Linked DNA regions of Bombyx mori. The protein of the gene in region 2 binds, or shares a complex with, the protein of the main gene of each other region. Links are inferred from orthologs where the notes say so. Each region holds a gene or a part of one and is shown on either strand. Other genes may lie near its edges.

Region 1 (4,183 bases), on a different chromosome or scaffold from region 2:
ATTTGTAAGGGTTGTCAACTCGCAGTACTGCGATATATAGGTAGGTGCCATATAATTATTTATATGGACCGAAATGATGAATACAATCCATAATTTAAGCACAATACACAACATAGTGTAAATTAAGCTGGTTTCTATTCTGAAGCGATGTGACGTGAATGATAATCAACAATACAATGATCAAAAAAAGTATGTGCATGTTATATTTTAGAAAATTATTATTTAATTTCCTTAAAAATCACAACTCTGAAACAAAATCATAAAATAGAATAAAAAATAGAAAACAAAAGGACTGGAAATGCAATAATACAATTTTATTTAATCAACATTTTCAAAATAATCTTTGAGCAAGAGTAAGATATCAGGTGAATAAGATAAAAAACCGGCTTTATCTGATTACTGCCAATAATAACAAAAATAAAAGAAATTCTTTCTAAGCGAAATAACTAAACTCAATTAATTCACTCACTCATAATTGGATATCTCGGATTTTTAATTAATGTTACATTTAAAATCTGAGGCCTGTTTTTATTTGTGTGTGCGTTGTGAATGTTAACAAAATCATGATTCGACGCGTGAATAGATTATGAAATAACAAAAGTTTTGATTCGTTTGAGTTCTTTTAACTTTTTTTTTTTTTTATTGCTATAAAGAACATACGACCGGGCAGATGTTACAAGGTAAATGTCGCGAAAAAAAAGTAATTATATATATACTTTTCTTTTACCTATAATACTTACATAAACTAACTGATAAACATATTAACCTTCTTTACATCACGCAATTAAGTGATAGTATAGGCTAAAAAATCTATTATAAGATATCAGTGACAACCCTAACAAGCCATCCCTATTTTGTCTTTTGGCGTTCCAATTTTGTGTTTTCTCGTCCCTAATTTTTCCAGTCTCGTTCCAAATTACCCTACAAACGTCCCAATTTTCCCCAAAAAGGAAAGAAAAAATATACATTTTTTATTTTGTCGAAATATTGTATTTAAAATAAGAATATTGCAACTTACCGTTTGTTGTGGTATTTCCAGGTGTATTAAAAACTTATATAAACTGTGATCTTATTGAAAAAACAACGATAATATTACTTTTTTTAAAAGTTCTTTAAGCTGTTTTAAAACGCACTTTTCAACCACTATTTTCAATTTAATTTGACGAATTTTTGGGACCAACTTAACTCATATTTAGTACTTCTATAGTTAACTTGGTTTTTCTTCTATACATTGACAAATATTAACATAAACAAAATTAGGTAGATTCCGTGCTACAGGTACTTTGAGAATCTTCCGCAGGTTTGTCCCAATTTACCCCAGGATCCCAATTTACCCCATGTCATGGTAGATAAAATGTTCCCTTCCGCATGTCATTGTGCCACCTGTCAAATGTCAAAAACAACAGAGAAAACTGTCATGGCGTGTCAATTGAATTATTGAATCAAAGGAAAAATAAGGAATGTGTATTTACTTTAATGAAAGTGGTCCAGTCAAAGTAGGATTTTTTCTATAGCCTTTTAAGTTACTATAATTTAATGTTCAGTTCAAGAGCACACTTACAAAAACGTACCCCAAAAGATGGTACTGATCGCGAGGCATATTTGTCATTATTAGTCGACGAATATTTACACTCAAGTTCCTATGGTAATAAAATATACATGCAATATCTATTTAATTAATTTTAATGCGATTTACGTATGAACTTTCACAATTGCCATTAAAGTTTTTACTTTTAAAAATCTTAGATAGTTAGAAAACTATTGCATAAACAAGGGCGACCTTAATGCTAAAGAGTACTCACAGTACAGCTAGCCCTATTGCGTTTGGATAATGGTATTTTTCGTTTTAATAAAATTAAATTGTGTATGTGACTTATGGGATATGATTATAGTGATTTTAATATTTATATTTTATATTTATATTTATTGTATCATACATTAGTTTTTTTTCTTCATTATTAAGTAATGTGCATGAAGGTTTGCTCTGTTTCTGAATAATTAATAACATACCTGTTGGATCTTTTTCACAATTTCTCTAGATAAAAAAGGTTGTTTAGAAGAGATGATTGTGTGACACAATGATGATTGTGTTTTGGTGTGTAGTAAAGTAATCTATCTCTCTCTATCTCTGTCTCTCCACGGCTCTCTCCATGGCACTGCAATTTGTTAATGTTATTTTTCCTTACAGAAGCAAAGTTGCAAGTTTTAGCCAATTTGGCAAATTTTGCATATGATCCTGTGAACTACTCATACATTAGAGACGTTGGAGTACTAGATATATTCTTGTATGTGCTGAAGAATGAAACTATTGGTAGATTAATAAGGTATGCCATTGCGGGTGTCTGCAATTTGTGTTTAGGTAAGCTGTTGATAACAATAGATGAATAGTTTTCTCAAATTATTATAAGTTCAATTAAACTGTCAATTTTTTTATGAAAACTCTTATAAGAAAGAACCTGTTCAATAAAAGTATTCTTTATATTATTATGTACAATAATTTATTTAAGATTATCAAAGTAGCTCTATTTAAATTTAATTAAATACTTGAACTATTTGAATATTTGTGAGTGTTGATAAGATGTGATTTAGTGCATTTTAAAGTAAATTAAAATTGAAAGTGCCCAATAATATGTAGTGAGCTTGCACCGTTTTCTTGTAAATGTTTTAAGTGCAATGCTGCTTATACCAAATAGCCATTTTCCCCTCAATATTGTGTAACTGTCCCTACATACCATTAAATTGGAACTCTCTTTATTATATTGGAAAGTCTTAAGCCCATTAGACTGAAATGGTTTATTAATGTTATATCTGACAGTAGTACCAACACATGCTGCCACCACACTACTGACAGTATTCAAGATAATAATTAGAAGAGTAAGGAAAGTAGTAATTAAAAAGTAAAAAAAATTTGATTCTGATTCTCAATAATATTTTCATTAAGAAAGAATAAAATAGCAAATGCATTAATAAAATAGCAATAGACCCGACTACCGACTAAACCCCATCGAGCTCCACTACTCCGACTCCACGAAACCTACGGTACCGCACAATGCGCGCCGCAGGCTCGCCGTCGCCGGTACCCGTCCTGACAATAGGACGGGATCCAATCCCCGGGAAGATCCCGCAGGAATAGACTAGCAATAGAATAGCAATAGACCCGAAATAAATTATTGCTAAAAAAGAAATTAGTAATACTAAAGATTTATCAGTCATTTTGAATCAAACATTTTGAAGTCGTTGTGGTCTAAAGGATACTCCGTTTGGTGCATGCGTATCTTGCGATGCATTGGTGTTCGAATCCGGCGGGTATCTGGCGGGTATCTGGCGGGTACCAAATTTTCTAATGAAATACGTACTTAACAAATGTTGACGATTGACTTCCACAGTGAAGAAATAACATCGCTTAATAAAAATGAAACCCACAAAATTATAATTTGCGTAATTACTGGTACCTATTGTGAGTCCGCACGGGTAGGTACTACCACCTTGCCTATTTCAGCCGTGAAGCAGTAATGCGTTTCGGTTTGAAGGGTGAGGCAGCCATTGTAACTATACTGAGACCTTAGAACTCATTACAAGGTGGGTGGTGGCATTTACGTTGTAGATGTCTATGAGCTCCGGCAACCACTTAACTTCAGGTGGGCTGTGAGCTCGTCCACCCATCTAAGCAATGTAAAATCCCAAATTTAGAAAAACGCTAGAATCATCTTTAAAAATTTGACACTATATAAAATCATATTGCTATTTCACATTTCACATGTTTATGTAAGAATTATCACTTTTCAGATCCACTGAATGCAGACTATATTTTAACTCACTTGGGATTAAAACCTTTGTTTCGATTATTGAAGTCAAGTGATACAGACACTGTAGCTGATACAATAACGACATTGATATATATGTACAATGAGAAAACAAAAACTGAAATAACTGATCAAGACGTTATAAATATGATGTCAAATTTGAAAACTACGCAGGATTTGAGGATCGTCAATTTAGCTACAGTTTTTCTACAAAATGTGTGTAAGACCACCTGAATAGTTACATAAACGAACTTCATAATGAACAAGATGCTCTCGAATAGATTCCCCTATATTATTGTGAACAATAAAAATTATCAAAAAATATGCAAGATTCATACCACATCCTTCAGCAACACAGCTTTTAAAGCTGGTGATAAAAT
Region 2 (3,388 bases):
AAAAAAAGTATATTTCAAGCTCCATACGTACTGTTTTTACTCTCATCGGCAGTTTCGCCAGATTTAATTCTTTCCAAGTCATCTTCACTAAAACCTGTAAATTGTGACATGTTTTATTTGTTTTTACATAGATATGTCAGGGTTATGTTTTTCATATAAGGTGCATTAATGTAAAAAATTGCAAAACTCATAGATAGATCGTAAACGTAAAAATCTATATTTTCATTGATTCAACACTGATTCACATCAAATTTTTACTATTCTGCAACACTACTTTGACATTGACTATTTGACGTTATTGGAACTTTTTTAATCACGTTAGATTGAATTCTGGTCTTTTAAGCCAAAAACCCATTGAAATAGTGTTTCGCCCATTTAATTATTCGAATCCATTTAACATTTATTTTAACAATATGTACATTTTGTCTTTAAAATGGTTTGGTGTTATAGCTCTACTCTCAGCATAAGCACTTCAACACACAATGTTGAAGTTCTCGTTTTCTATTCCCAAAATAGTTTTATAAAAAAACCGACTCTACTTTCAATTATTTGATGGTTTTTAGTTAGGCCAAAGATCGTTCATACCATCTTTAATTAAACAAACTTATCTAAATGTTTTTATTGCTAATATATAGTTTTATGGAAGCTTTTCACATATTTTTTCTTCTCTTCACATTTTATCAATAGCGAATTCCTCCAAATACGTTGAGAACTTTCAGCTTAGGTGTGTCGTTTTAGTCGCTACAAGCCCTTCTCTATTAGTTAAACATATTTGAAAGTGTAAAAGATTGTGGAAATATAACAAAATCACTGGACCTGACTTCTCAGGACTTTATGTTTATATAAATTAAAGAAAATAATTACCATTTTCTGTAGTTTTTTTTTCAACTGGGCTTCAATAATAATAAGATGAAATACATACTATTATTAATTTTTTACTACATTTTTTTAAAGGGATTTTATGACCTGGACTAACTAAAACTTTTAGGTCAAGTCTTATTTTAATTTTATGTTACGTAACTTTTTTATATGAAAATTATAGAAATGAAATGAAGTTGAATAATATGAAACATGGCATGAAGTGAAATGAAAACGAAATGAAATGAAATGAGATGAGATGATATGGGATGAAGTATAATCTCAGTAAAATGGTGATCATTTACTGAGACTTTTTCAGTGGACTTTTTGGAAGATCTCGAGAACTTACGTTCAGTGGCTTTGTTTCGTTTTCCCACATTTGTGCACTTTCACAGTTACAGTTAAGCAGTTAATAAGCCACCGTTATTACACATTTAAACCTGAAGAAAGACTAATTAGACAAAATAAAACAAACCACTCCTCGCGTTCCCGCCGAAAAGTCCTAGAAAGAACTAATTATAATAAATTTTAAACTACCTGTGTTTTATCTATGGTGGTGTATTATCTATGAGTAGCTGATGGCCGTGTTGCAAATTCAATGCTTTCATAAATAAAAAATAAAAAAATATCTATGAGTAGAAATTAGCGTCGAACTCGAAGCGAAGCCGATACATTTTGAGGTTATATTTTGTATTTCTTGTTAGCCGATATTAAAGTAAGTACTGATGTTTCTTAAATAAGCAATGAAAACAATAAAGGTGGTTTGAAAATGAATTAACATCCAATTTACTTTTTAGAACCTGCAAAAATGGCGGCTGCTATGCCAATAAATCCCAAACCATTTCTTAATAGTCTAACGGGTAAATCCGTGCTAGTTAAATTAAAATGGGGTCATGAATACAAAGGTTTGTTAGTATCAACAGATGGCTACATGAATTTGCAACTTGCTAATACTGAAGAACTTGTCGATGGAACTTGTACAGGTTAGTATTTAAGTGAACAACTTTAAGTAATCACGAAAACATATTAAAGCAAGAGATTAAGATCTACTGGTAGTGGACCTGGACCAAAATTGAATTAAAAATGAGACGTTCATTGTTTGTTTGGTCTATTATGAGTACACTATTCTGCACCCATTTCGACTTCAAAGCTTTCAAGCATTCTGCTTTGAAGAGTAGATTTAATATTCATATTGTAATAAACTTATAAATTCTAGAAGCCACTTAACACTAAATGTCATGGGGTTCATTTGCCCTTTTAAAGAAAAAAAAAGTACTTGCTACAAAGAATGCACAAAATCAATAAATTTCATAACAAGAGACAACTTGACACTTACAAGATTCCAAACCAAACTTTTTGGTTGTGAATAGTTTTGTGAATTTAATTAATTTAAATTAGTAAATAAAATTTAGAAATCAAATCTTAACATTTAAATATTTTTTTTTATATTTTTTTTTAAGAATCTTTTTTATTGTAATTCAGTCCATGCTACATCAAACTTAATGAAGTCATATCAGCAGAGTTCTGTAAAGCTTTAACGGCGTTTGTTTTGAATACTAGTTCAGTTAGTTCTGTTAGTCCATACATACAAAACACTAAATTAAGAACCCTATTAATTTAAGTATTGGGTTTTATTTCCAGGTAATTTAGGTGAAGTTTTAATAAGATGCAATAATGTCTTGTATGTAAGAGGAGCTGATGAAGAAGATGAAGAAGGAGAAATGAAAGAATAATTAGTAATTATTACATAAGTTAGAATAAGGAATTATCTTAAGAATAACAGGCAAAAGGGAAATTTTAAGCAAAAAAATAGAAATTTCATATTACTCTGTTAGCAGTAAAATTACCTTAGGTATATATCCCGAAATACTAATGATTGAGGAGAAAAATGTTAATTGGAACTATTGTTGTATACAATGTTTAAATGAAACAACTTTAATACTTTTTTTTTTTTAATAACTATGTCTGAAACAACCTCTTCAGCATGAATTCCATAACTTGTATAATTAATTATAAGTAAATTTTCACCATAACCTTGTTTTATTTTCTCAACACTAACTTTACAAGAAAAGGTTTGCGATTTATATTGTCCTTGCAAAAAATGAGCATGTGAAAACAGGGAAATATATTGAAATCTAATGATCTTCAATGTATTTTACCCCATTCCTTCTTGCTCTTTTTTGGCCTTTGGGTATTAGATTCCAAATTCGTTTAAAAACACAACCTCATTCGCAAAAACAATTTTCATTTAAAAAAACTTTGGTTCTCATTCTGGTTATGATTTGAAACTAAAAAGTAAATAATACAACCTTATTTTAATATAGTTAAAGCTCTAGAAGTGACTAAAAAGAGATGCATATTATTTTATAGTATCTAGTCTGTGAGAGAACGAGATAGAAAACTCCTACAGGTTACACTTCTACATTTTGCGAATTGCTGCACACTTTGTATTGCTCTGGATGAAGAAAAAAGCTGACTGCCTACTTGGTATTAAGTAGTTGCCATAGCCCACTACATAAATCATCACTCA
Region 3 (2,568 bases), on a different chromosome or scaffold from region 2:
TTCTTTCGGTAATTTGCTCATAACTTGTCAGAAATAACAATAATTCTGAATAGAGAATATTTAAAGGCGAACAGAATTACGAAATGTATATCTTGATAAAAACAACTCTCTCAGTAATGACTGGCTTCTGGTTATTAAGTTTATCAAAAATATTGAATAAACACGGTAGTGTATTTTCTATGGCAACTGGTTTTAAATTGATCAATTAATCAACATAACAACATACCAAAGAGTTTAGAAATACGACGATATCAACGTACCCTAGAGTGTACTTTGTAAGTACTCTAAGTTGATATGTAACTGTGAGCATAGAAAATACACTTAATTAAAATACCTGTGAGCTTAAGATAAGTGGATGAGGAGAACCGCAGACCGGGCTCAGTGGTGTGGATTGGGAGAGGCTTATGTCCAGCAGTGGACGACTGTGGGCTGTTGATGATGATGATGATGATGATGATGAGCTTAAGATTCCATGATAGATGCAGCTGATCTAGCGTGGTTGTAATTATGTATATCTCACGGGTTTTTTTTTATTGCTTTGGTGGGTGGACGAGCTCACAGCCCACCTGGTGTTAAGTGGTTACTGGAGCCCATAGACATCCACAACGTAAATGCGCCACCCACCTTGAGATATAGTAAGTTCTAAGGTCTCAAGTTTAGTTACAACGGCTGCCCCACCCTTCAAACCGAAACGCATTACTGCTTCACGGCAGAAATAGGCAGGGTGGTGGTCCCCACCCGCGCGGACTCACAAGAGGTCCTGCCACCAGTAATTACGCAAAATATAATTTTGCGGGGTTCATTTTTATTACACGATGTTATTCCTTCACCGTGGAAGTCAATCGTGAACATTTGTTTAGTATGTATTTCATTAGAAAAATTGGTACCCTCCTGAGATTCGAACACCGGTGCATCGCTCAACACGAATGCACTGGACGTCCTATCCGTTAGACCACGACGACTTCTATCCTTCCTTTACCTTTTTTTACTTTTTATTTTATCTTTTATTAACCTCTTTGCTTTAATAACTTTGTTGCGTGAGCTGTAGAAGTGTAGTTAATAGTTAATTTTGTTAACTTACTGTTTTTTTGTTTGTTGAAACGTGCTATTAATGAAAAATTGTAACCGTTTAGTATCTCTAAAAGTCCACAAGTATAGGAAAATGTGACAACACAGCTGTACTCAACTGTTTTGGTCAGCATTATCGGCAAACGAGTATCTGTCCCACTTAATAATAAGTGGCGATCGTCTCTGATGAACGTCAACGTCAGAAGCATAGACTAAGACTAATTCCACTGCCGGGGCTCTTCCCAAGCTTCGTTAAAAGATGAAAGCTTATTTCAAAACCAGATGATATGTAAACAGATCTAAGAACTTACTGTGAAAGATGCAGTGAAAGAAATAATAAAAAAAACTGTGCACAACCTTTGGTGTTTAGATTTCAACGTTAAGTATTGTATCTATGGTTTAGATACGCCGTGTCTGCAGTAATCTGCACTGCAATTTATGTATTGTCTATGAATACTCTTTGTTTTGGGCTGCTACGTGATATCAATATTAGCTGAATTAGAATATAAACTTTAGAGTCTATACGATTTCAACAAGCATCTTGCCTTTAAAGTAAGTGTGTATATTTTATTAGAAACGTTTTATTTATTTTATAACCATTTAATTTTACATTAATGACATTACTAACTCGAACTATAACCTTAAAATAATTTACAGAATAAAATGGGTGAAAGATACAACATTCACAGTCAACTTGAACATCTACAGAGCAAATATATAGGCACAGGCCACGCCGACACTACAAAATATGAATGGCTTATGAACCAACATCGCGACTCTTGCTGCAGTTACATGGGTCATCCGGATTTGTTGAGTTACTTTGCGATCGTAGAAAATGAATCTAAAGCGCGCGTAAAATTCAATTTGATGGAACGAATGCTTCAACCATGCGGCCCACCGCCAGAAAAGCCTGAAGATTAAACGCTTCGATTTTAAAAATAGAATTAAGCTAATTTACTTATTATTTGACTTTGAATCCCTTATCATGACATAAATTCGAGCAGTTTGTTTTCATTTCTATAACCTTTAACAAACACAATTAGTCTATTCAAATAGTACCACCAAAAACTCAACTATTATCAATAAAAACTACAAATTTTAATAACAGGTATAGTTTATAGTTTAGAATTGGTTCAATGGTCAAATGTTTGACAATCTTATTTTTATATACAAACTTGTTTCATATTGTTTTATCTCAAAGAAATCAGTTTTGATTTCCATTTAGCCTTATATATATACAGTCAAAATCTGTTATAACGACATCGAAGGGACTGCTCATATTCAGTCGTAAAAACCGATAGTCGTAACAACCGGTAATGTTTAATGTGTATCGTGCAAGTACAAACAAATCGATAGGGAATTATTGGAAAAATATATTTACAAAATACGTGATTTTTCTTCAATATTAATTTGTTTTCTTTTTCTTTGCGACATTTTCAAAGTTTCACGAATAACTCCACAAAGTTTTGGTGCGTTTTATGTATAGATAAGTAATAAACT
Region 4 (3,500 bases), on a different chromosome or scaffold from region 2:
GCGGCGAAGCTCCAGGCCAGCTCGGCGGCGACCACGCACAGCTGCGCGGCGCCGCACTCTACCAGCTGCTGCACCACGCGCCGGTCGCCGGCGGACACGCCCGCGTGCAGGTACGCCACGCCCGCGGACAGCGTCTCCTTCAGCATCTGGACGTGCGAGATCACACTTATAGTATGTTTATGTGCTAGCTGTGTATAGAATATTTTAAAGTATAGGGAGGTCGTTGACCTCGTGTATCAGCTGTTAGCAAAACAACAGAGTGAGAGAGTTTTAACAGAGTGAATAGGTCTCAAAAAGATTTGAAACTATCAAAAATATTTTTGGCAGTAGTCTTGATGGATTACGAGATATTTATCAGTAGCCGTAGGTAGGACATCTTGTGAGTCTGCACTGATAGGTACCACCGCCCTGCCTATTTCTGCCGTGAAGTTGTAACACGTTTCGGTTTGTAAGGTGCGGGGGGCCTGTAGTACAGTAGGTGCAGAGACCTTGTCCTGCACGGCGTCGAGGAAGGGCGCGAGCAGGTCGCGCGAGGCGTGCAGGAAGGCGGCGGGGGCTGCGCGCGCGGCCGCCAGCGCCAGCAGGTCGGCGGCGAGCAGGCGGGCGGCGCGGCGCGAGCTCACGAACACTGCGCAGGGGCGGGTGCCCGCGTGCCGCCGGATCGCGTTGTAGATGGGCTTCGTCATGGCCGTCAGCCGGGTCGGCGCGTGCGATATGTTGAAGCCCTGTAACATTAGTTCTCGTGAGCTTACTTTTGAAGTAATTGACCGAATCGGCGGTGCAGTAATTAGCGCCTCCGACTGTTGCACCGAGGGTCGTGGGTTCGTTTCCCGCATCAGGAAAATATTTAAGTGGCGAAATTGTTCGTTCGCTCTTTGTTTGGGAGTTTATTATCTATACCTTATCTTATAACTTTAAACGAGCAATTCTTGTATATAAATATATGTATATATAAATATATGTATATATATATAATCTAAATCTCGGAAACGGCTCCAACGATTTTCATACAATTTAATATACAAGGGATTTCGGGGGCGATAAATCGATCCAACTACGATTTATTTTCAGAAAATGTTGTTTTATTCGTGTTTTCAATAATCAACTTTATCGATAATTTTGATTTTTTCTTTAAATAACCAGTTCATATTTTTTTATTATACGGTAAGATCGAAAAATATAATTCATATGTCATCATTTTATCAAGATGTAATTGGTATTGAAACATAATTTCTAAAAAAACAAGATTTATAAAAAAAAAATTTGCTCGGTATTTAACTAGTATGTATATATTTATAAACGTTTAAAGGACATATGTAAAGAAAAACCTTTATTTATTTAAAACTTTAGTTTTTAAAAAAGATTTTCTTCGGTGTCATTCAATGTCATTGAGTAAAAACACGAGTTCAGGTTTGTATATTTTATTAATAATGTTTACTGTTTAATTATTAATGTTAACTTTAAAAGAGATTAAGGACTTTAAATATTGTTTTATTATTATATAAAGGAAAAAGCAATTAAGTATTTTATTGCTTATTCATTCTGAATTACTCCATATCATTATAATGTCAGTATATATCAGTCTCCATGTCTTATAGTAAAAAGAATCCTGATTTGGAGACGAATAAATTTATGTGACTTGTTCCCAGTAGGCGTTAATTCATTCTTGATTCTTTTTACCATTAGTTGAGTGAATTAATATCTCACTACATATATTGGACCTCACCCCTAATGCATTTTTTTTCCTACTTAAGCTGATAGCCTTGAGAGGCTATTTCAGCGTAACCTTAACTAGTAGGTGAGCTCACGGGGCTCAAACTGCAGTGATACTAACACTGGCCCTAGCAAGAGCAGTGCTTCGCAGAATCTACCACCGGATCGGAAACGCGACCCACTGAGAAGATCCGACGAGAAACTCAGTGGGTCTGTGGGTTAATTCGGGAGGATTAGGAATTAAGGAGGACGGTGACCGGTGCTTGTGGTACCTAAAAGCACCATTCATGGATCGGGAGGATCCCTAATGACATGTTTAGGACGACGTCGACTGTTTACCATTCGGTCTACAGGATCGGGTATGTAGTTTCCAGCGGCCACGACAAGAGGGTTCTCATGTCGTGCCGCCTTCTCAAAGTGGCACAATGATGCCGACCGTAGATACTTACTGACCGAGTCAAGTTCCAGGTAGCGGTAGGCAGCGGCTTGGCTTTGCCCCTGGCATTGCTGAAGTCCATGGGCGACGGTAACCACTCACCATGAGGTGGGCCGTATGCTCGTCTGCCTACAAAGGCAATAAAAAAAAAAGTTCCAGGTCATCATGGAGATCCCTAACGCTGTGTTCCCTAATGTTTCCTATAATTTCCTATCCTATAATATTTTGAAGTCGTCGTGGCCTAAAGGATAAGACGTCCGGTGCATTCGTATGTAGCGATGCACCGGTGTTCGAATCCCGCATGCGGGTACCAATTTTTCTAATGAAATACGTACTCAACAAATGTTCACGATTGACTTCCACGGTGAAGGAATAACATCGTGTAATAAAAATCGAACCCGCAAAGTTGTAATTTGCGTAATCACTGGTGGTAGGACCTTATGTGAGTCCGCACGGGTAGGTACCACCACCCCGCCTATTTCTGCCATGAAGCAGTAATGCGTTTCGGTTTGAAGGGTGGGGCAGCCGTTGTAACTATACTGAGACCTTAGAACTTATATCTCGAGGTGGGTGGCGCATTTATGTTGTAGATGTCTATGGGCTCCAGTAACCACTTAACACCAGGTGGGCTGTGAGCTCGTCCATCCATCTAAGCAATAAAAAAAAAAAAAATATATATATATATATATATATATATATATATATAATAATTTATTAGTGAATTACCTGGATGTGCAACTCTAGTGGGAGGGATCTGACGCTAGGGTGGAAATTGAAGGTGGCATTCGCGTTGCAGCCGAGCCACTGGGCAACGTCGCGGGCGTCGGCCAGCGGTAGCGACAGGGCCACTATACGGATCGGCTTCCCTGGGAACAGACATGCACATTGTTACGTCGGTTAGAGTAACGCCATCTGTCGTCGAATATCAAAAGAACTAGTAAAATCAGAGCGTTCGAGAATTGCAACGCCATCTATTATCGAATAGCGGAAAAACATAACGAAATGACTCGCCCTATCGGGAACGTTCTCGATAATTGTAGAGTTGTCGCGTCGACTGTAAAAGCGTTGCAGATATGACATGAAGACAGTCAGTAATCGGTTCTACTCGAAGCGAAACAACGAACGGATCATCTGAAGCGAAGTGAGAATTTTAAAGTGTTTAATAGAGTGTTAATTTGTACTTCGGTGCAAGTTTTATTTATCCCGAAGCCCAGCGCGTAACAATATGTTACCGTTTATATATATATATATATGTGTGTGTATAAAAAAAAACCTTTATCATTTAAAATCTTTAAAATTGTTCAGTTTTTAAAAAAATATTTTTCTTGCACCGAATCACTTATAAGTCTGT
Region 5 (2,327 bases), on a different chromosome or scaffold from region 2:
TTTGGTACACTGTAGCTTCAATTGACAGATTGACAGTTTTTATTTATTTAGTTGCAACAACAAAAGTGATCATCAATACAAAACATTGACAAACTGACAAAAGTACATAGCAGATGTCACCTCAATTATAGATAGGTGCAATTGACAGTGCATTGACAACAAAAATATGCATAGATGGGTGGACGAGCTCACAGCCCGCCTGTTGTTAAGTGGTTACTGGAGCCCATAGACATCTACAACGCAAATGCGCCACCCACCTTGAGATATAAGTTCTAAGGGCCCAGTACAGTTACAACGGCTGCACCACCCTTCAAACCGAAACGCATTACTGCTTCACGGCAGAAATAGGCAGGGCGGTGGTACCCACCCACGCGGACTCACAAGAGGTCCTACCACCAGTAATTACGCAAATTATAATATTGCGGGTTTGATTATTATTACACGATATTATTCCTTCACCGTGGAAGTCAATCGTGAACGTTTGTTGAGTACGTATTTCATTAGAAAAATTGGTACCCGCCTGCGGGATTCGAACACCGGTGCATCGCTCAACACGAACGCACCGGACGTCTTATCCGTTAGGACACGACGACTTCATTAGTTTGTAAGTGGGGGTTGTGGTTCCACAGCGGCATGGACGCTTTCGGTCGAGTGTGGGACCTCCGCACGGGTCGCTGCGTGATGTTCCTGGAGGGTCACCTGGGTCCCGTGCTGGGGACGGACTGGTCCCCGGCTGGACACTGCCTCGCCACCGCCGCCGGAGACCACCAGGTGACTTGACAACTGTCCCAAGTCGTTAGGGCTTCGTCCCCCCCCATTTATACTTTATACTACCAATGGAAGATGGTATGGTAAATAGGTTTTCCAGGGTTATGGATGTATATTAAATATATTATGTATGTGTATAATAAAAATCTTACATTTATTTCCGTTATCTGGTGTCTGCAATACAAGTTCTTGACGAACTTATCACGGGACAAGTTAACGTTATCCAAACCTAGTGGATCAATGTGGTATACAAACAGAACTTTTCACAATATTCAAAGGCACTATTTAATCATGTTAATATGTCCTACCTATGCTGATAGCCTTGAGAGGCTAGGCTTCGTATCCCATTTATACTTTATCTAAGCCTAGTGGATCAATGTGGTATACAAACAGGACTCTTGACAATATCACGAGTCAAACGCCTTGAGAGGTTATTTCAGCTTAACCTTAACTAGTAGGTGAGCTCATGGGCTCAAACCGGAGTGTTGCTAAAACTGGCCCTATCAAGAGCAGTGCTTCGCTAAATCTACCATCAGATGGTCTGATCAGATCAGAATCGCGAGCCACTGAGAAGATCCGGTAAGAGAAACTCAGTGGGCTGTGTCTGTGGGTTAGTTTACGATGACCGGTGCTTGAGGTACCTAAAAGCACCGTTAATGGACCGGGAGGATCTGTAATGATGTGAAGTTGTTTACTACATTAATCTACTTTAAGATTGGACAATAATTCGTCTTCTCGCATTAAAACCGTGTATAATCTCAAAACTAACTAAATTTTACAGGAGAGTGTTTTAAAGGTTCAACATGTGATATTTTTAATATTAATCAATCATCTTTGCAGCGTTTATTTTTTTTGTTTTTACCAGTTACATTATCTGTCTTTTGAAGTAAGATAAAATTATGTATTGATTTTGTTAATAGTACTCAAAATATAGGTAAACTAAAACTAAACTACGTACTTTTGAGAGTATATATGAGAAAATATACTGGTGATACCAAATGGTTTCGCATTTTTTTTTATTGCTTAGATGGGTGGACGAGCTCACAGCCCACCTGGTGTTAAGCGGTTACTGGAGCCCATAGATATCCACAACGTAAATGCGCCACACACCTTGAGATAAGTTCTAAGGTCTCAGTATAGTTACAACGGCTGCCCCACCCTTCAAACCGAAACGCATTACTGTTTCACGGCAGAAATAGGCAGGGTGGTGGTACCTACCCGTGCGCACTCACATGAGGTCCTACCACCAGTAAATGAATATTTATGGAAATTGTACACTTTTAATGTGTGGTGACGTTATGAAGAGATACCGCGGGTTGGCCGGACGTAGCTGATGTCTCGTGTTTGTTGCAGACCAAGATCTGGGACCTCCGGAGGCGCTCGTGTCTCTACACGGTCCCGGCTCACGCGCATCTGGTCAGCGGTGAGTATAGCGCTCGCTGTGGTCCCCTGACCGCAGTCAAATGTCCGCGATTGACTTCCGCGGTGAAGGATTTTAAATTGTGTAATTATTTTACACATTGAGTTACATTATTGGAGTTTTAGTAAGGATCCCTATT
Region 6 (2,962 bases), on a different chromosome or scaffold from region 2:
GGCAACAAGATTGTTATAATTCTGATTACAACCAGGTTGCTCACTGCTAGGAGTGGGTGATATAAATCGTATATAGATTCAATATCTATATATCGCAGCAATATCGTTGAATCCGATATCGCCCCGCACGAAATCTATATATCGATATCAGCCGATACACGATATTGCTCGATGTGATGCGCATCGCCATATCGGACCGATTCGTGAATCGAAATCTATATTTCGATATCAGCCGATACACGATATTGCTCGATGTGATGCGCATCGGCATATCGTACCGATTCGTTAATATCAGCAATATTCGTTTGGTTCGTATCGAATCGGCCAGAGTGAGTGAGCGCACGATAGCGATATCATGTGATGAATGAAACAGAAACAGGCATTATCCATACAATTGTAAACCTTATATTTAAGTCCATATGTCTGTAGATTATTCTAAGCGTATCAGCAGGATACAATTAAGGAAAGAAGTTTCAACTTTCGACCCTAACTTGAATGCAGTATAGCCTATTTGCATCGTTGAATTTAATTTCACGCGCTTTGACCTTGAACTAGAATTTTTGGACAAGTGTTTATAAATACTTCAAAGTTTTTTGTGTTTGATTTTTAAAGTACACATTTTTCTATTTTTAGTTAAATCCAAATAATTGAGTTTATTTCTTGTGTTTGTATTAAACTTTTGAAATCTACACTCTTTTGGTATATTTTGTAATTTTAAATTAAGACACAAAATACTAAAAACTGAAAATAATGTAGCCAGTCCTAAGCCTGGTAAAAGCATGAAGGAAAGTTTTTTTGATATTTTTATTTTCATGTTCTTTTTATTACTTTAAGATCATATTATAAATTGATATCAGAAAACCAACCGTATAACGTTGACTTAAATACTACGATATTATATCGGCGTATCGTTTCAAATCTCAAATATCATGAATCGAGAAAATCTACCAGCATCCATCAATATATAGATTCAGAAAATATATAGATTCAATATCCGATATTGATCCTCGATATATAGATACGATTCGATACGCGGCAAAACCGATATTACCCACTCCTACTCACTGCGCACGTATCCGCAATTGTGCCCGCACAGTGCGGCGACCTTAGCGCAAATGCGGTTTTTCCTTTAAATATATACATACATATTATGTATATGTAGGAAGATCGGTATTTTTTTTGATCAGGTTCACACTGACACATTAGAATTATTTTAAAATAAGAATAATGAAAATTACAGTCATCGAATGACATGACGAGGTAAGGAGGGTTTTTTTTTGGAAAATAAAAAATTTTGGTATGAAAGTCCACTAGATTTCACTCTACCGTCCCACATTATATACATGTTGTAATATATAGTGCTGTTGATTCCACCGACTGAGCCGGTCATCGGGGTTTTCGTCGAACCCGTCGCTTGCGACGAAGGGCTCGGCGAGTAAATTAACCCACAGACACAGCCCACTGAGTTTCTCGCCGGATCTTCTTAGTGGGTCGCGTTTCCGATCCGGTGGTTGATTCTACGAAGCACAGCTCTTGTTAGGGATCGTGTTAGCAACAACGTCAGGTTTGAGCCCCGTGAGCTCACCCACTCGCCCGGTGACGCTGATATGGTCTCACAAGACTATCAGCTTAGGTAGAAAAAACCGACTGAGTCTGTGGCTCGTCGCGCAGGTCACGTGACCCAGGACGCTCCGGTCCCCGGGTCGCCGCTCTACACCATCAAAGCGTTCGTCCCGGCCATAGACTCGTTCGGCTTCGAGACCGACCTGCGCACGCACACGCAGGGCCAGGCCTTCTGTCTGCAGGTCTTCCATCACTGGCAGATCGTGCCCGGCGACCCGCTCGACAAGAGTATTGTTATCAGGTGAGTTGTCTAGTTTGGATTGTTTTATCTATCTAATTTATAAAAATGAATTCCTGTTCGTTAGTCTCGCTAAAACTCGAGAACGGCTGGACCGATTTGGCTAATTTTGGTCTTGAATTATTTGTGGAAGCCCAGAGAAGGTTTAAAAGGTAGATAAATAATAAATGCTCGGAATTAAATATAAATAAAAAAAATGTTTTCTTTTTCATGTGTCCCCCGTCGGACGGATTCGTTTTGTTTATTTTAAGTTTATTTTATACAAAAGCTTAGGTCTTTTATTTATCGATTGAGGCACTACGAAGTCTGCCGGGTCAGTGTATTGACGAAGATAATGATATTTATTATAAACGAATCTGTATCAGCAGTGAATGATAAAATCATATTTAATTCATTTTTTATTTATTTAGGCCATTGGAACCACAGCCAGCGACGCATTTAGCCAGAGAGTTCATGATCAAGACCCGTCGACGCAAGGGGCTCAGTGAGGACGTGTCCATCAATAAGTTTTTCGACGATCCTATGTTGTTGGAGCTGGCAAGACAAGACGTACAACTTCATTAATTATATTTCTGATTTAATAAAATTTACCAAACAATTATTTTGGTATTTGTTTTTCATTTTACGTGCAAAGTTTTGATAAAATTACTGAACAATAACATAATATATATGTAGTGAAAACATATTATTATAGTATGTAATACATAGATTAATTATTATAAATCAAAACTAAAAAACATTTGCAGTTGTATGTGAAACTTTTGGCGTTATACTATTCATTCTATATATTTTTTATTAAATCCATTAAACCTAGAGGGAGTGCGCGGTACTTTATAAAATTGCCAAACGTTAAAGCCGGCAGAGGTGACATGTTAATATTTGTCGCATTTTAACGATTTATCCTAGCGATTATACTACTCACAAAATAAATCCAACAACATACTAATGTTAGGTAGTTAAGCCATAAGTTTCTCGGCTAATCTAAATTAGTAAAAAAAAATGTATTCATTATTCAAATTGTTTTACTATTTTGTCATGTTCACGTTTATCAAATTTATCGGTAGGTGCCTAACAGTAGAAACATAGTTCAGAATCGGCAGT
Region 7 (3,664 bases), on a different chromosome or scaffold from region 2:
CCCGCGTGGTGGTAAGTGCTTAACGGACCTCATAAAAAGCCATCTTGAGACAAGGTAGAGTACTTGAATTATTGTTTTAGAAAATACGCTACCCTTCAAAACCACAATGTATAACTCGTTCAAAGCATAAATACCACGTTTGTAATGCACCAAAATGTAAAGAAAAAGTCAAATATTAAAATCTATTTTAATAGGGAATCAGGTCAAGGGACATCTGAGGAATTACGCTCTCGTGATTTTCGTAAGGAGTTGGATGATAGAGAAAAAGATGTTAAAACTACGACTACAAAACGTACAAGTGAACCACAAGCAAAAAGAACTAAGGTTGATCAAGTTCCTGCAGCAAGTCTTGATGCTGATGATCCTCTTGAAGGCGATTCCACTGACTCTGATGATTCAGATGATGATACTGCTGCATTGCTAGCAGAATTAAACAGAATTAAGAAGGAAAGGGCCATTGAACAAGCTAAAAAAGTAAGATATATCTTAGATACTAGAGTTAGATACTATACTATAAGACTATTTTTGTACTGATGTACACAAAGTATGTTTAAATTAAATTTTACAATATATATTTTTTTTAATTTGTCTAACTTTAGTGTACTTTAGTGTATTTTGATACCCAAACTAAATAAAATTCAAATAACAAATAAACCTTGTTGCACAAATCAATTTTGTTTTACCTTATAGGAAGCTGAAAAGAAACAAGAAGAGGAAAGAATTAGAATGGAGAACATATTATCGGGTAATCCTTTACTCAACTACTCCGCTGCAGGACAGAAGAATGACATGAAGGTAATTAAAAACATTAAAATGAATTTTGTTTTAACTCCTGATAACTGTTTGGTGATTGAACTGAACTGCAGATGTCATTGATGTTGTATTTATCAATGTTGAAGTAATTGTGCCCTAAAAGATAAAGACTCCCGGTGCATTTGTATAAAGCTATGTGACTGTGCCGGTGCTCTCATCCTGCAGACAGGTACCAATGGTAATGAAATATATACTTAACGTAAATTGACAAATGATTTCCATCATGAACAAATAGTGTTTAATAAAGATCGAACCCACCAAAATTATAATTTGCTTAATGAATGGCAGTAGAATGGGGTAGTAATGTGTTTTCGTTTGGTATAAAATCTGATATTTAGAACTCATGTCTCATAGTGGGTGACAACATTTAAGATGTCGATTTCTATGGGCCATGAACTTAATTCACCCATCAAAGGAATAAAAAAAGTGTAGATGACCTTTAGTTTCTGCAGTGGGTAGGTATTCATTTGTTGTAGTACAAGTTCTTCATTCTGGCTAGTCAGTTTCATGATACTACATTATTAAATTACACATTGACCAGGATTATCTTGATAAATAATTTAAATGCATCTTTTAATTGGCATTTGTTGTTTTGCTGGTGTTTTGTTTTTGTTATTTTGTTATTCCATAGTAACAATACTATCTGTGTTTTACTTTTTTTATGGCATATTTATGTGTTTGTATGTTTATGTATGTGTTGTATGTTTCTGTTCTGGTACACTATGGTACTTTTCAAATCTGTTTCAAGATATTATTTTTCATTCTTCCAAGTATGTCTAGCATTGTCTTTTTGGTGTTAAGTGGTTATAAACTTGGGTCTCACTTAGATTATAATTATTCAGAGCTTTTGTTGTGTATTGGTATTTTAGATATCCTTGCCATATGATAATAATATGATGTGTATTGAAACATGTGCAAATAATATTCAATCAGTATCTGTTTTGATATCTCATTGGTGAAGTATACTGACAACTACCAGATAACCCTTTTATACCAGGTTGGCCATAAGTTTGTTCACCTATCTATGCTATAAAAATAACTATTAAAACGTATTGTTGCTATTGTTTTCGGTTTACTTGTATTTGAATCAATATCATTGATACTCCACAGGGAATACTTTAATAATGCACAAAAAAATTATTTTTCCTTTCATTATGCATATGTAGCGGCAGATATTGAGGATTCAAGACTATTAAATAATTTCATTTAGACTTTGGTTGATTCATTATTTTACATTTTCGGTTCTATAAACACTGGTTGCTGTTTTGACACCACAGGGACTGTGATTTTGTACACCCACTAATAAATACCATACAAAAATGCAAAAGTAATTGAAAGTGATTTTAAGAACATTAACATAATCTGCTCAAGCATTGGATGAATCCGGTATTGGAACGCCCAGAGGCACCACTCAGCACAACTCGTCATTAGGCCTCTACATGATATCATTAGAGAGAGACTGACTGAGTTATGAGAGTCACAACCTTCATCTATGAGGGTCGATTAAGAAGAATTTAAGAAGTCGTCGTGGCCTAAAGGATAACTCATTCGGTGCATTCATGTTGAGCGATGCACCGGTGTTCGAATCCCAGGCGGGTACCAATTTTTCTAATGAAATACGTACTCAATAAATATTCTCGATTGACTTCCACGGTGAAGGAATAACATCGTGTAATAAAAATCAAACCTGCAAATTTTAATTTGCGTAACGACTTGTGGTAGGATCTCTTGTGAGTACGCGCGGGTAGGTACCATCCCCTAGCCTATTTCTGCCGTGAAGCAGTAATGCATTCCGGTTTGAAGGGCGGGGCAGCCGTTGTAACTATACTTGAGACCTGAGAACTTATATCTCAAGGTGGGTGGCGCATTTACGTCGTAGATGTCTATGGGCTGCAATAACAACTTAACACCAGGTGGGCTGTGAGCTCGTACACCCATTTATGCAAATAAAAAAAAAGGACAATCGTAATATTATATCTATATTTTTTTTGGGTTGTTCCAGGTAAAAAGAAGATGGGATGATGACGTTGTTTTCAAAAATTGCGCTCGTTCTGAACCGGAAAAGAAACCTAATACTTTTATAAATGACTCATTAAGATCAGAGTTCCATAAGAAATTTATGGAAAAGTACGTGAAATAGTAAATCATTATTGATATTGTAATTCTAAATTTAAAGTTGTTAAAAGCGATTCTATACCTTATTGTAAGCGGAATAGTGATAACGAAGTGGAAATGCTACTATGGATATTACAAACACGTAAAGAAAAGATTGACGAAAACCAATATAATTTTAGTAAATATTATGAAAAAAATGTCATTTTGTTGTTTTGAATAAATTATATGAAAACAAATAGTATTTTATAAAGTTTATTTTCAAGTTAATGTCACGTTACTGATAAAAAGTAATGTTTGTTTCCTCAACAACAGATAGAGGTCAGTTCATTAGCATAATGTGTCTAATTTACTCATATAACAACGAACATTGCTTTCGGGTTCGAAATTTGAGACTCAACTTCTGAGTTTCAGTGGTAAAAATCTTGGTAGTTGGGGTATCCAAACTAAATTAGGGAAGGTATTAAAGAGATTAATTTACAAAAAATTCAAACTTACTGCCCCGATTTGATAATCAATACGCCACCCGTTAAAGTACATAACTGCATTGTTAATGGTAGTAATAAATAATTATTAAATTAACTTATTAACATTCGGAGTTCGGACTGACCAGACTGACGTGTCCGGCGAAGTTGAATGTTTTTATTATTGCGGCGTTGTGAGTGAGGCGTGAGAGGGGAGGCAGTGGTAAGTGCGGAGCAGGCGGCGGCGGCCTACCTTGAGTGGGCAGGTCCACAGC

The links.
Region 1: small nuclear ribonucleoprotein protein F (region 2) and armadillo repeat-containing protein 7 share a complex: the UniProt entries of both Homo sapiens proteins name them as parts of the minor spliceosome. The link is inferred for Bombyx mori from reciprocal best matches to the Homo sapiens genes SNRPF and ARMC7.
Region 3: small nuclear ribonucleoprotein protein F (region 2) and splicing factor 3B subunit 5 share a complex: the UniProt entries of both Homo sapiens proteins name them as parts of the minor spliceosome. The link is inferred for Bombyx mori from reciprocal best matches to the Homo sapiens genes SNRPF and SF3B5.
Region 4: small nuclear ribonucleoprotein protein F (region 2) and U5 small nuclear ribonucleoprotein 200 kDa helicase share a complex: the UniProt entries of both Homo sapiens proteins name them as parts of the U4/U6-U5 tri-snRNP complex. The link is inferred for Bombyx mori from reciprocal best matches to the Homo sapiens genes SNRPF and SNRNP200.
Region 5: small nuclear ribonucleoprotein protein F (region 2) and U4/U6 small nuclear ribonucleoprotein Prp4 share a complex: the UniProt entries of both Homo sapiens proteins name them as parts of the U4/U6-U5 tri-snRNP complex. The link is inferred for Bombyx mori from reciprocal best matches to the Homo sapiens genes SNRPF and PRPF4.
Region 6: small nuclear ribonucleoprotein protein F (region 2) and 116 kDa U5 small nuclear ribonucleoprotein component share a complex: the UniProt entries of both Homo sapiens proteins name them as parts of the minor spliceosome. The link is inferred for Bombyx mori from reciprocal best matches to the Homo sapiens genes SNRPF and EFTUD2.
Region 7: small nuclear ribonucleoprotein protein F (region 2) and protein CWC15 homolog share a complex: the UniProt entries of both Homo sapiens proteins name them as parts of the minor spliceosome. The link is inferred for Bombyx mori from reciprocal best matches to the Homo sapiens genes SNRPF and CWC15.

The regions. Positions count from the first base shown.
Region 1 is NC_085121.1:11,321,589-11,325,771, forward strand, and holds the start of armadillo repeat-containing protein 7, read left to right. Parts: upstream 1-1,383; 5' UTR 1,384-1,536; coding exon 1,537-1,645; intron 1,646-2,188; coding exon 2,189-2,359; intron 2,360-3,786; coding exon 3,787-4,037; 3' UTR 4,038-4,183. UniProt on the Homo sapiens protein: As a component of the minor spliceosome, involved in the splicing of U12-type introns in pre-mRNAs.
Region 2 is NC_085117.1:15,790,630-15,794,017, forward strand, and holds small nuclear ribonucleoprotein protein F, read left to right. Parts: upstream 1-1,495; 5' UTR 1,496-1,573; intron 1,574-1,655; 5' UTR 1,656-1,666; coding exon 1,667-1,841; intron 1,842-2,499; coding exon 2,500-2,591; 3' UTR 2,592-2,888; downstream 2,889-3,388. Other genes in the region: RAB6-interacting golgin, read right to left, coding at 32-110. UniProt on the Homo sapiens protein: Plays a role in pre-mRNA splicing as a core component of the spliceosomal U1, U2, U4 and U5 small nuclear ribonucleoproteins (snRNPs), the building blocks of the spliceosome.
Region 3 is NC_085126.1:5,965,730-5,968,297, reverse strand, and holds splicing factor 3B subunit 5, read left to right. Parts: upstream 1-1,460; 5' UTR 1,461-1,620; intron 1,621-1,725; 5' UTR 1,726-1,731; coding exon 1,732-1,989; 3' UTR 1,990-2,068; downstream 2,069-2,568. Other genes in the region: uncharacterized protein LOC101736097, read right to left, coding at 1-21. UniProt on the Homo sapiens protein: Component of the 17S U2 SnRNP complex of the spliceosome, a large ribonucleoprotein complex that removes introns from transcribed pre-mRNAs.
Region 4 is NC_085130.1:11,233,514-11,237,013, reverse strand, and holds part of U5 small nuclear ribonucleoprotein 200 kDa helicase, read right to left. Parts: intron 3,016-3,500; coding exon 2,876-3,015; intron 726-2,875; coding exon 489-725; intron 147-488; coding exon 1-146. UniProt on the Homo sapiens protein: Catalyzes the ATP-dependent unwinding of U4/U6 RNA duplices, an essential step in the assembly of a catalytically active spliceosome. Plays a role in pre-mRNA splicing as a core component of precatalytic, catalytic and postcatalytic spliceosomal complexes.
Region 5 is NC_085130.1:18,534,308-18,536,634, reverse strand, and holds part of U4/U6 small nuclear ribonucleoprotein Prp4, read left to right. Parts: intron 1-629; coding exon 630-771; coding exon of another isoform or gene 772-780; exon of another isoform or gene 781-806; intron 807-859; exon of another isoform or gene 860-924; intron 925-2,121; coding exon 2,122-2,191; intron 2,192-2,327. UniProt on the Homo sapiens protein: Plays a role in pre-mRNA splicing as component of the U4/U6-U5 tri-snRNP complex that is involved in spliceosome assembly, and as component of the precatalytic spliceosome (spliceosome B complex).
Region 6 is NC_085121.1:1,473,641-1,476,602, reverse strand, and holds the end of 116 kDa U5 small nuclear ribonucleoprotein component, read left to right. Parts: intron 1-1,671; coding exon 1,672-1,864; intron 1,865-2,271; coding exon 2,272-2,425; 3' UTR 2,426-2,462; downstream 2,463-2,962. UniProt on the Homo sapiens protein: Required for pre-mRNA splicing as component of the spliceosome, including pre-catalytic, catalytic and post-catalytic spliceosomal complexes. Component of the U5 snRNP and the U4/U6-U5 tri-snRNP complex, a building block of the spliceosome.
Region 7 is NC_085110.1:8,228,614-8,232,277, reverse strand, and holds the end of protein CWC15 homolog, read left to right. Parts: intron 1-194; coding exon 195-474; intron 475-690; coding exon 691-795; intron 796-2,815; coding exon 2,816-2,953; 3' UTR 2,954-3,164; downstream 3,165-3,664. UniProt on the Homo sapiens protein: Involved in pre-mRNA splicing as component of the spliceosome. Component of the PRP19-CDC5L complex that forms an integral part of the spliceosome and is required for activating pre-mRNA splicing.